Cricetulus griseus: one gene and its partner. The protein of the gene in region 2 purifies or fractionates together with the protein of the main gene of each other region. This does not show direct contact. Links are inferred from orthologs where the notes say so. Each region holds a gene or a part of one and is shown on either strand. Other genes may lie near its edges. The genes, in order: Msn and Vcam1.

The links.
Region 1: the proteins of Vcam1 (region 2) and Msn purify together in Homo sapiens (affinity purification with western blotting; 3 studies listed by BioGRID, with this or other methods). This does not show direct contact. The link is inferred for Cricetulus griseus from reciprocal best matches to the Homo sapiens genes VCAM1 and MSN.

What each region holds. Positions count from the first base shown.
Region 1 is NC_048604.1:74,002,106-74,005,929, forward strand, and holds part of Msn (moesin), read right to left. Parts: intron 2,364-3,824; coding exon 2,200-2,363; intron 1-2,199. UniProt on the Homo sapiens protein: Ezrin-radixin-moesin (ERM) family protein that connects the actin cytoskeleton to the plasma membrane and thereby regulates the structure and function of specific domains of the cell cortex.
Region 2 is NW_023276806.1:42,101,517-42,105,340, forward strand, and holds part of Vcam1 (vascular cell adhesion protein 1), read left to right. Parts: intron 1-1,529; coding exon 1,530-1,850; intron 1,851-2,801; coding exon 2,802-3,068; intron 3,069-3,824. UniProt on the Homo sapiens protein: Cell adhesion glycoprotein predominantly expressed on the surface of endothelial cells that plays an important role in immune surveillance and inflammation.

The DNA of each region.
Region 1 (3,824 bases), on a different chromosome or scaffold from region 2:
TTCTATGCTCAGTCCATTTACCTCAAATTCCTGAAACCTAAAGAGGAATGCTGGTACTGCAAGTAACCAACTAGATGGCTTTGCTCTTTCTTCTATCTGCAAAATTATTTACTAACCTTTGCACTCTGTCTTGGACAACTAGGCCTAACTCTGCTTTCCTTCAACCCCAGCTTTAGGTTCCCTTTTTCCAGACTTTGTTGCCGATCTAGGATAAGTATTTGCTTTTTCTGCCCTCACTACCTATTCAAGGAAGCATCATTTTTTGTTTTAAAGACTTTATTTTTATTTTATGTGTGTTTTTCCTGTATATATAAGTGCACAATATGTATGCTGTGCCCACAGAATCTAGAAGGTGCCAGATCCCCTGGAAGTGGAGTTACAAATGGTTGGAAGCTGCCAAGTGGATGCTGGGAACCGAACCTGGGTTTTCTGCAATAGCAGCAAGCATTCTTAAATGCTGAGCCAACATCTCTCCAACCCGTAAGAAGCATTCTTAGACCTTGGCTACATGTCCTCACGCTCAGACCTTCAGAATGCTTGGCACACACTTTTTCATAGCACTTTTCACTATTGCATATGCTAAACAATTTGTTTATTTTATCTGTCTTCTATTAGAATGATGGATGGTGGTGGTGCACACCTTTAATCCCAGCACTCCACAGGCAGAGGCAGGTGGATCTCTGTGAATTCGAGGCCGGCCTGGTCTACAGAGTGAGTTCCAGGACAGTCGGTGCTGTTACACAGAGAAACCCTATCTTTAAAAACTTCTCCTACTAGAATGACAGCTTCATAAGATGAGGAAATTTTTACTGCTCAATAAATATTTAAGGGAATTAATAATATAGCTTTTGTATCTCAAGACTATGTAAGTAAGACAGTGTGAGCACATACATGTATGTATTTCCTTCATTCTCTGTGTTACTAGACTGTGAGGTCCTGCAGAGTATGTTCTAGTTCAGTAAACTGTATCCAAATCTTGGTATTTTTTCTTCTTCTTAATAATGAGAACTCTGGGCTGTCATCATAGGTCAATGATAGAGTACTTGCCTGACATTCACAGGGCTTTGAGTCCAAACACCAGTATTGGGGGAAAAGTCAACCTTAGTTGTGGGTGGTGCGCATGCACCCAAGTACCCACAAACTCATGCATGTATATGTATACACACACACACACACACACACACACACACACACACACACACGCACACACACGCACACACAAGCCACACACACAAACATATGTATATACATACACGTATATAATTAATGTTGACACATGAATATATATCTATATGTATTAGAACCAGGTTCATTGTGAAAAAAAATACATGCTCATTTTTATTTCCATTTTCATTATTTAAAACAGGTTCTTACTATTTATTCCTGGCTGGCCTTGAACTTACAGCACCTTTGTGGGAGTGAAAACTGGTGCAGACATTTTGAAAATCAACATAGTGATTTCCCGGAAAATTGGGAATTAATCTTCCTCAAGACCCAGATATATCTTGGTATCTTGGGCACATACCCAAAGGACAATCCACCATACCACAAGGATTCTTGCACAACCATGTTCATAGCAGCATTATTCATAATAGCCAGAAACTAGAAACACCCTAAATGTCCCTCACCAAAGAATGGATAAAGAAAATGCAGCAGTATATTTTCACAATGGAGTATTACTCAGTTGTTAAAAACAATGACATCATGAAATTTGCAGGCAAATGGATGGAACTAGAAAAACCCATCCTGAGTGAGGTAACTCAGACCCAGAAAAACAAACATGATGTGCACTCATTTATAAGTGGACACTAGCTATAAAGTAAAAGACAATCATTCTACAATCCACAAACCCAGAGAAGCTAAGTAACAAGGAGGGCTCAAGGAGAGGACACTTGGATCTCCTTGGGAAGGGGAAATAGAATAGATTTCTCAGGTAGACTATGGGCCGGTGGGGATAGGAGAGTACTGGAAGAGGTTCCTCCCTCTAGAAGCCTCTGAAATCCCAGACTTTTGGTGCCTGTTTCTAAGAAACAAAAATGTCTGTGCTGACACTGAATTTAAGGAGTTTCCTCCCCTCCACAGTTCACAAGTCCTGGTTCTGGGCTGATACCACACCCTAAGCCGTCTAGGAAGCTTTTAGAAACTTCCTTACCACAGCAGTAGAGTTAGGACTACTAAGTTCAACACTATGGCACCTACCGCTCCATCTGCTTCTGGTGCTTCTCCTCCCGAGCCTGTGCCTTCATCTGCTGAACCTCAATGGTGTCAGGCTTACGCCGACGCATGTACAGCTCATGATTCCCCATGCACAAGGCCAAGATCCTCTTGTTAATCCGAAGCCGGGGAGCATAGAACACAAAGTCCTGGAGGGAAAATAGCATTGAGTTTTTAGGGCTGACAAAATGGCTCACATACGCCCTGGAGCACACACATGCATGCACATACACACCAGTAATAGAATAATAAACTGATACATTTTTTAAAGTCTTGAGAAAAAGGTGAAAGTGACTGGCTTCTGTTAAGCTAAACCCAAAAGTACTGGAAAGACTGTGTAATCCAATCATTTGCATTGCAGTGGGAATCCTAATTACCAGAGTAAGAAAATCATTTTTCCTAGAGTCAGTTGTCAGGGAAGTAGTAGACTTAAGGCTAGAACCCATGTTTCTTATCTTTGACATCAAGTACTCTTTCCACCAAAATCACCATTTTTACCAACTCTGATCATGAAAAGCAGCCTGGGACCAGCAAGATGGCTCACAAACTAAAGGTGCCTGCCACCAAGCCTGACAATAAGAGTTTGATACCCAAAAACAACATTGAGAAAGAAAACAAATTCTAACAAGTTGTCCTCTGGTCTCCACATGGGCATCATGGAGTGTGTATCCTTTCACCTCCTCCACACAAAATAAACATGGGAAATTGAAAATCTTTAAAAATAAAATAGCACCCTAAAATACTTTATCAGAAGTGTCTTCTTCTGCTATGGTATTTTTTTTTCAGTTTTCAAAATAAGTTTATTATTAATTCACAGGAGCTTAAGAGGGCCTTGAGTTAAGCCAATATGGAAGTCAGCCACATGGTGGTAAAGTAGCCATATTGCAAGGAGATCTTTACACAAAGTGTGAAAAAGTCCAAGGCACCAGAGAAAGCATATGCAGGTTCTGGTCAGCATTTGAAACACAACCACAGAAGAGAAGGGAAGAGTTATGTCCCTTTGCATCAGGAGCTAGTAAGATAAGCACATCCAAAAGAACCTCATGGTAACTAACAGGGACTAAACTATGGGGTAGTAACTCGGGGAAGGAAAACCACACTGTCTCATTAAAGAGATAATTATTCCTACTTCTTTACCTTAGCTTAAGGTTGAATGACTTTTCAAGGAGAGGTACTTCCTTGGCCTAGTGATTGACTAGCCCAACTGGATTAACTCTTTTTTTTTTTTTTTCGAGACAGGGTTTCTCTGTGTAGCTTAGGAGCCTATCCTGGCACTTGCTCTGGAGACTAGGCTGGCCTCAAACTCACAGAGATCCGCCTGCCTCTGCTTCCTGAGTGCTGGGATTAAAGGCGTGTGCCACCAACGCCTGGCCTGGATTAACTCTTAAGGGAGTAGACAATGTCATGTCTCACTACCTGAAGTCTAACTAGAGTTCTCAAATGAATCCAAAAGGGCCTCCTATAGGATAGAAAACACTCTAGTCAATAGGTAGGTACACCATAGGTGTCAGAATTTCTGTAATCTCTAAAAAGTGTGTTCTAGTTACAAGAAAGCTAACTAAGTACACAAATATCTAAATTTCTTAAGCATCAATTATCTTGACTGTTAT
Region 2 (3,824 bases):
TACTTTTATGTTGATAATTATTCTGATGTCATTTTTGTTAATTTACATAGGATGTATTATGTATGTTATTAGATGAGAGAAAAGTTACTCAGATTCTAAATAATACAGTTAGGGCAGTTCTTTTTCTTATTGATGGTTAGAGTTAGCATATAAACAAGTGTGTTCATAATGGCATCATCATATGTCTGTGTCATGATGTTTTCTTCTCTTTTGTTTCCCTTCCCCATTGCTCTCCATGCCTGTCTCTTTGAAAACTGCTTCCCTTCCTTCCCCTGACAATATCGCCTTCTCCTTTCCTATTGGTATGTTCTACTTCCCCATCCCTTAGGATGGCTTCCTTTCCTCTTTTTAGTTCTATGACCTACAAGGACATACATATCAATGCATGCATGTATATAATTTAAAAATTCAACTTGGGTTTCACATATCTGAGAGAACGTATAGTATTAAGTCAGTTCTTTTCCCTCCTCTCCTCCTCCTCCTCCTCCTCCTCCTCCTCCTCCTCCTCCTCCTCCTCTTCTTCTTCTTCTTCTTCTTCTTCTTCTTTTTCAGATAGGTTTTCTCTGTGTAACTTTGGGTGTCCTCGAACTCACTCTGTAGATCAGACTGGCCTGGAACTTAGAGATCAGTAGACACCTGCCTCTGTCTCCCAAGTGCTGGCATTAAAGGTGTGAGCCTCCATGCCCAGATATCAGTTTTATTTTTGATTTCAAGAATTACCTGATTGGAGACAAAGATAGGCAGCTCCCTGTGAGTTTGAGGCCAGCCTAATCTACATAGAGACTCCCAGGTACTGTCTCAAAAACAAACAAACAAAAAAATAAAGGAAAGAAAGAAGAAAGGAAGAAAGAAAGAAAGAAAGAAAGAAAGAAAGAAAGAAAGGAAAAAATTCTGAACAGTATTTAAAACTCATAACCTAAATTTAGTCGTAAAATAAACTATCTAAATTTTGATAATAATGTCTAAATTGAGAACTGCACTGTGAATCTCATTTGATACTGAAAAATTGTGTAGCCAAGATTCACAGGTCAAGGGACAGATTTTGACTAGGTATGATATATTATGAAAAATCGTTTTTGTTCCTGTAAGTTTCTTTTTCTAGCTATAAAGTAAGTTACATAATAACCATTTTATCAGATTGTCCAGAAAGGAGATAATGAAAGATGGGGGATTAGTTTATATTTAGTAGTCAGCATATTGTGACAAATATTTAAAACATTTAAATTATATGGCTAATTAAAAGGATGGCAGAAGTCATTGTGCCCTTAGAAAAGAACAGGCAAGATGGCATCATTAGAAGAGAAAAATCAGGAGTGAAAACATTACTCATTGACTTAAAATACTATTTTGTTTATATTATTTATAATTAATATTGTAAATGTGTCATTATAGTTGATGGTATTATTTATGTCCATACTATTCCCAGCTGATCAAAAGCTGTCACTCTGAGAACTTGGCATTTAATAGAGTCTGACTCAATTTTCCCTTGATTATCACATATCACCATTATTTTTACTTGATATCTGCAGCATTCCCCAAAGACCCAGAAATTGAAATGAGCGGTCTACTTGTGCATGGGAGACCTGTCATTGTAAACTGCACAGTCCCTGACGTGTACCCTTTTAACCATCTGGAGATTGAATTGTTGAAGGGGGAGACTACATTGATGAATAAAAGTTTTGGGGAGGAAATGAGCATAAAATCCCTGGAGACTAAAAGTTTGGAAATGACCTTCATTCCTACCACCGAAGATACTGGAAAAGATCTTGTTTGCCGGGCTAAGTTACACAGTGGTGAATTGGAATCTGAACCCAAACAAAGGCAGAGTACACAGACTCTTTATGTCAACGGTAAGTACATATGTGGGGCAGCTACCAATGAATATGGATTTCTTTATTAAGTCCACTAGGTAATAGCTAACAGAAGGTTAACAATTAAAACCTCTATGAAGAAAACTGAAAAGGAAATTCAGGATAACAGTAATTATAATAAACTATTTTCTATAATATAAAACAAACCATTTATTTATGCAGGGGTCTATGCATTAGCATTCAGGAATGGGCCAGCCAGGCAGCTAGCTACTCAGCCTCAGATAGAATCAGTAGAGCTCAGGCAGCCACCTTCAGCTAGGCTGGCAGCTGGCTTGCCACAGGTAGCTTCACTTAAGTGTCTGAGCCTTATGTGCTCGGTCATTTCTCAGCGTGGCATCATCTCTAGGAAGGGGGTCTAGATTTACTCTTCAGAACACAGCTAAGAAAGGTGGTGATAAAAGCCTACGTCAGAAGCCCTGCCTCCACCCCACACCGCCATGTCACTTAACCCACATCATATTGGCCAAATCACCAACCCAGGTTCAAGGTGTAGTAAATAGGTTTTTCTTATTCACAGGGAATCTTCCAATGCATCATGCTTTGACAATACACACCATTGACCTTTCAGTTTCCAATGCTCTCTACTCCTTTCTCCCTAAGAAACAGCGTCACTTTTATCTTACTCTGGCTCTTCTCACAGGGTCACACAGAGCCTTCTCATCCACCATGTCCCACAGAGACTACACTGTACCTGATTTTCTATGCTTTGACATGGAAAGCATTTCTCCAGACTTTTCTGCCATTGGAAAATATCCACCCTTCATCTGAGTTCTAACTCTCATTGTGTCTCCTCCACAGAAACTTCCTGGGCTGGTTGTCACAGTTTGTAAACTACACTAACCCATTCCAATGCCTAGTGTTACAGCATTGTCCAGACTCCATGGAATTCAGGACATAAAAGGCTTCAGCTAAGTGTCTTTTCCTTTTCAGATGCCCCCAGGGAAATCACCATCTGGGTCAGCCCCTCTCCCATCGTAGAAGAGGGCAGTCCTGTGAACCTGACCTGCTCAAGCGATGGTTTTCCAACTCTAAAAATCCTGTGGAGCAGACAGCTAAGTAATGAGGAACTGCAGCCTCTTTCCGAAGATACAACGCTCACCTTAATGTCTGCAAAACCAGAAGATTCTGGCATTTATGTGTGTGAAGGGATTAGCCAGATGGGAACTAGCAAAAAATCAGTTGAACTGGTTATCCAAGGTGAGCAGAGTATGACTTTTAAGTTATTCATGGCTAGTGCGTTTCCTATTGAGTTACTGATAGTGAACAAGGTTATCTTTGAAAAGAAGGCCTTTCGGGGTTGAGAGATAGCTTAGCAACAAGGAGTGCCCACTGCTCTTACAAATGACCCAGGTTCTGTTCCCAGCACTCACTGCCTGTACCCTCAGTGCCAGGAGATCGCATGCCCTCTCCTTGCTTCCATGGACACTGCACTCACACGCAGGTACATACAAATATGTATAACTTAAAATAAATCTTAGAAAGAAAAGAAAAACCATTACTTTAAAATTATATTTATGTGCAACAAACAAACAAAAGCAGCAGATAACAACAACAACAAAATACGTTAAAAAACAGGTCCACAATGCTCCTGGAATGAATTCTCATTTAAGGCCAGATCACTTGTCTTAAAATCTTATTACCTCAAATGAAATGCTCACTCCAAAAACTGAGCTGGAAGTTCAGGAACACTGAAGAGATTGTGGTTTTAGTGAAAAGACAAGGGTAGGAAATTACTTCTGATTAAAACAATAACATTGGGCAAGTCCCAAGAAGCTGCCTAGGATTTGTTTAGAAGTCCAAGAGGGCTCCTTTTGTAAACTCTGAGATTAAGGATCACAGTCATTGTGCCCTCTGGCCTCCTAGGCTGCTGGCACAGAACCACTAGGGTGAATATAAATATAGGTCTCCCTTCTCAATGATAAAGACCCAAAATTGACACAAAACAGGTTCTGT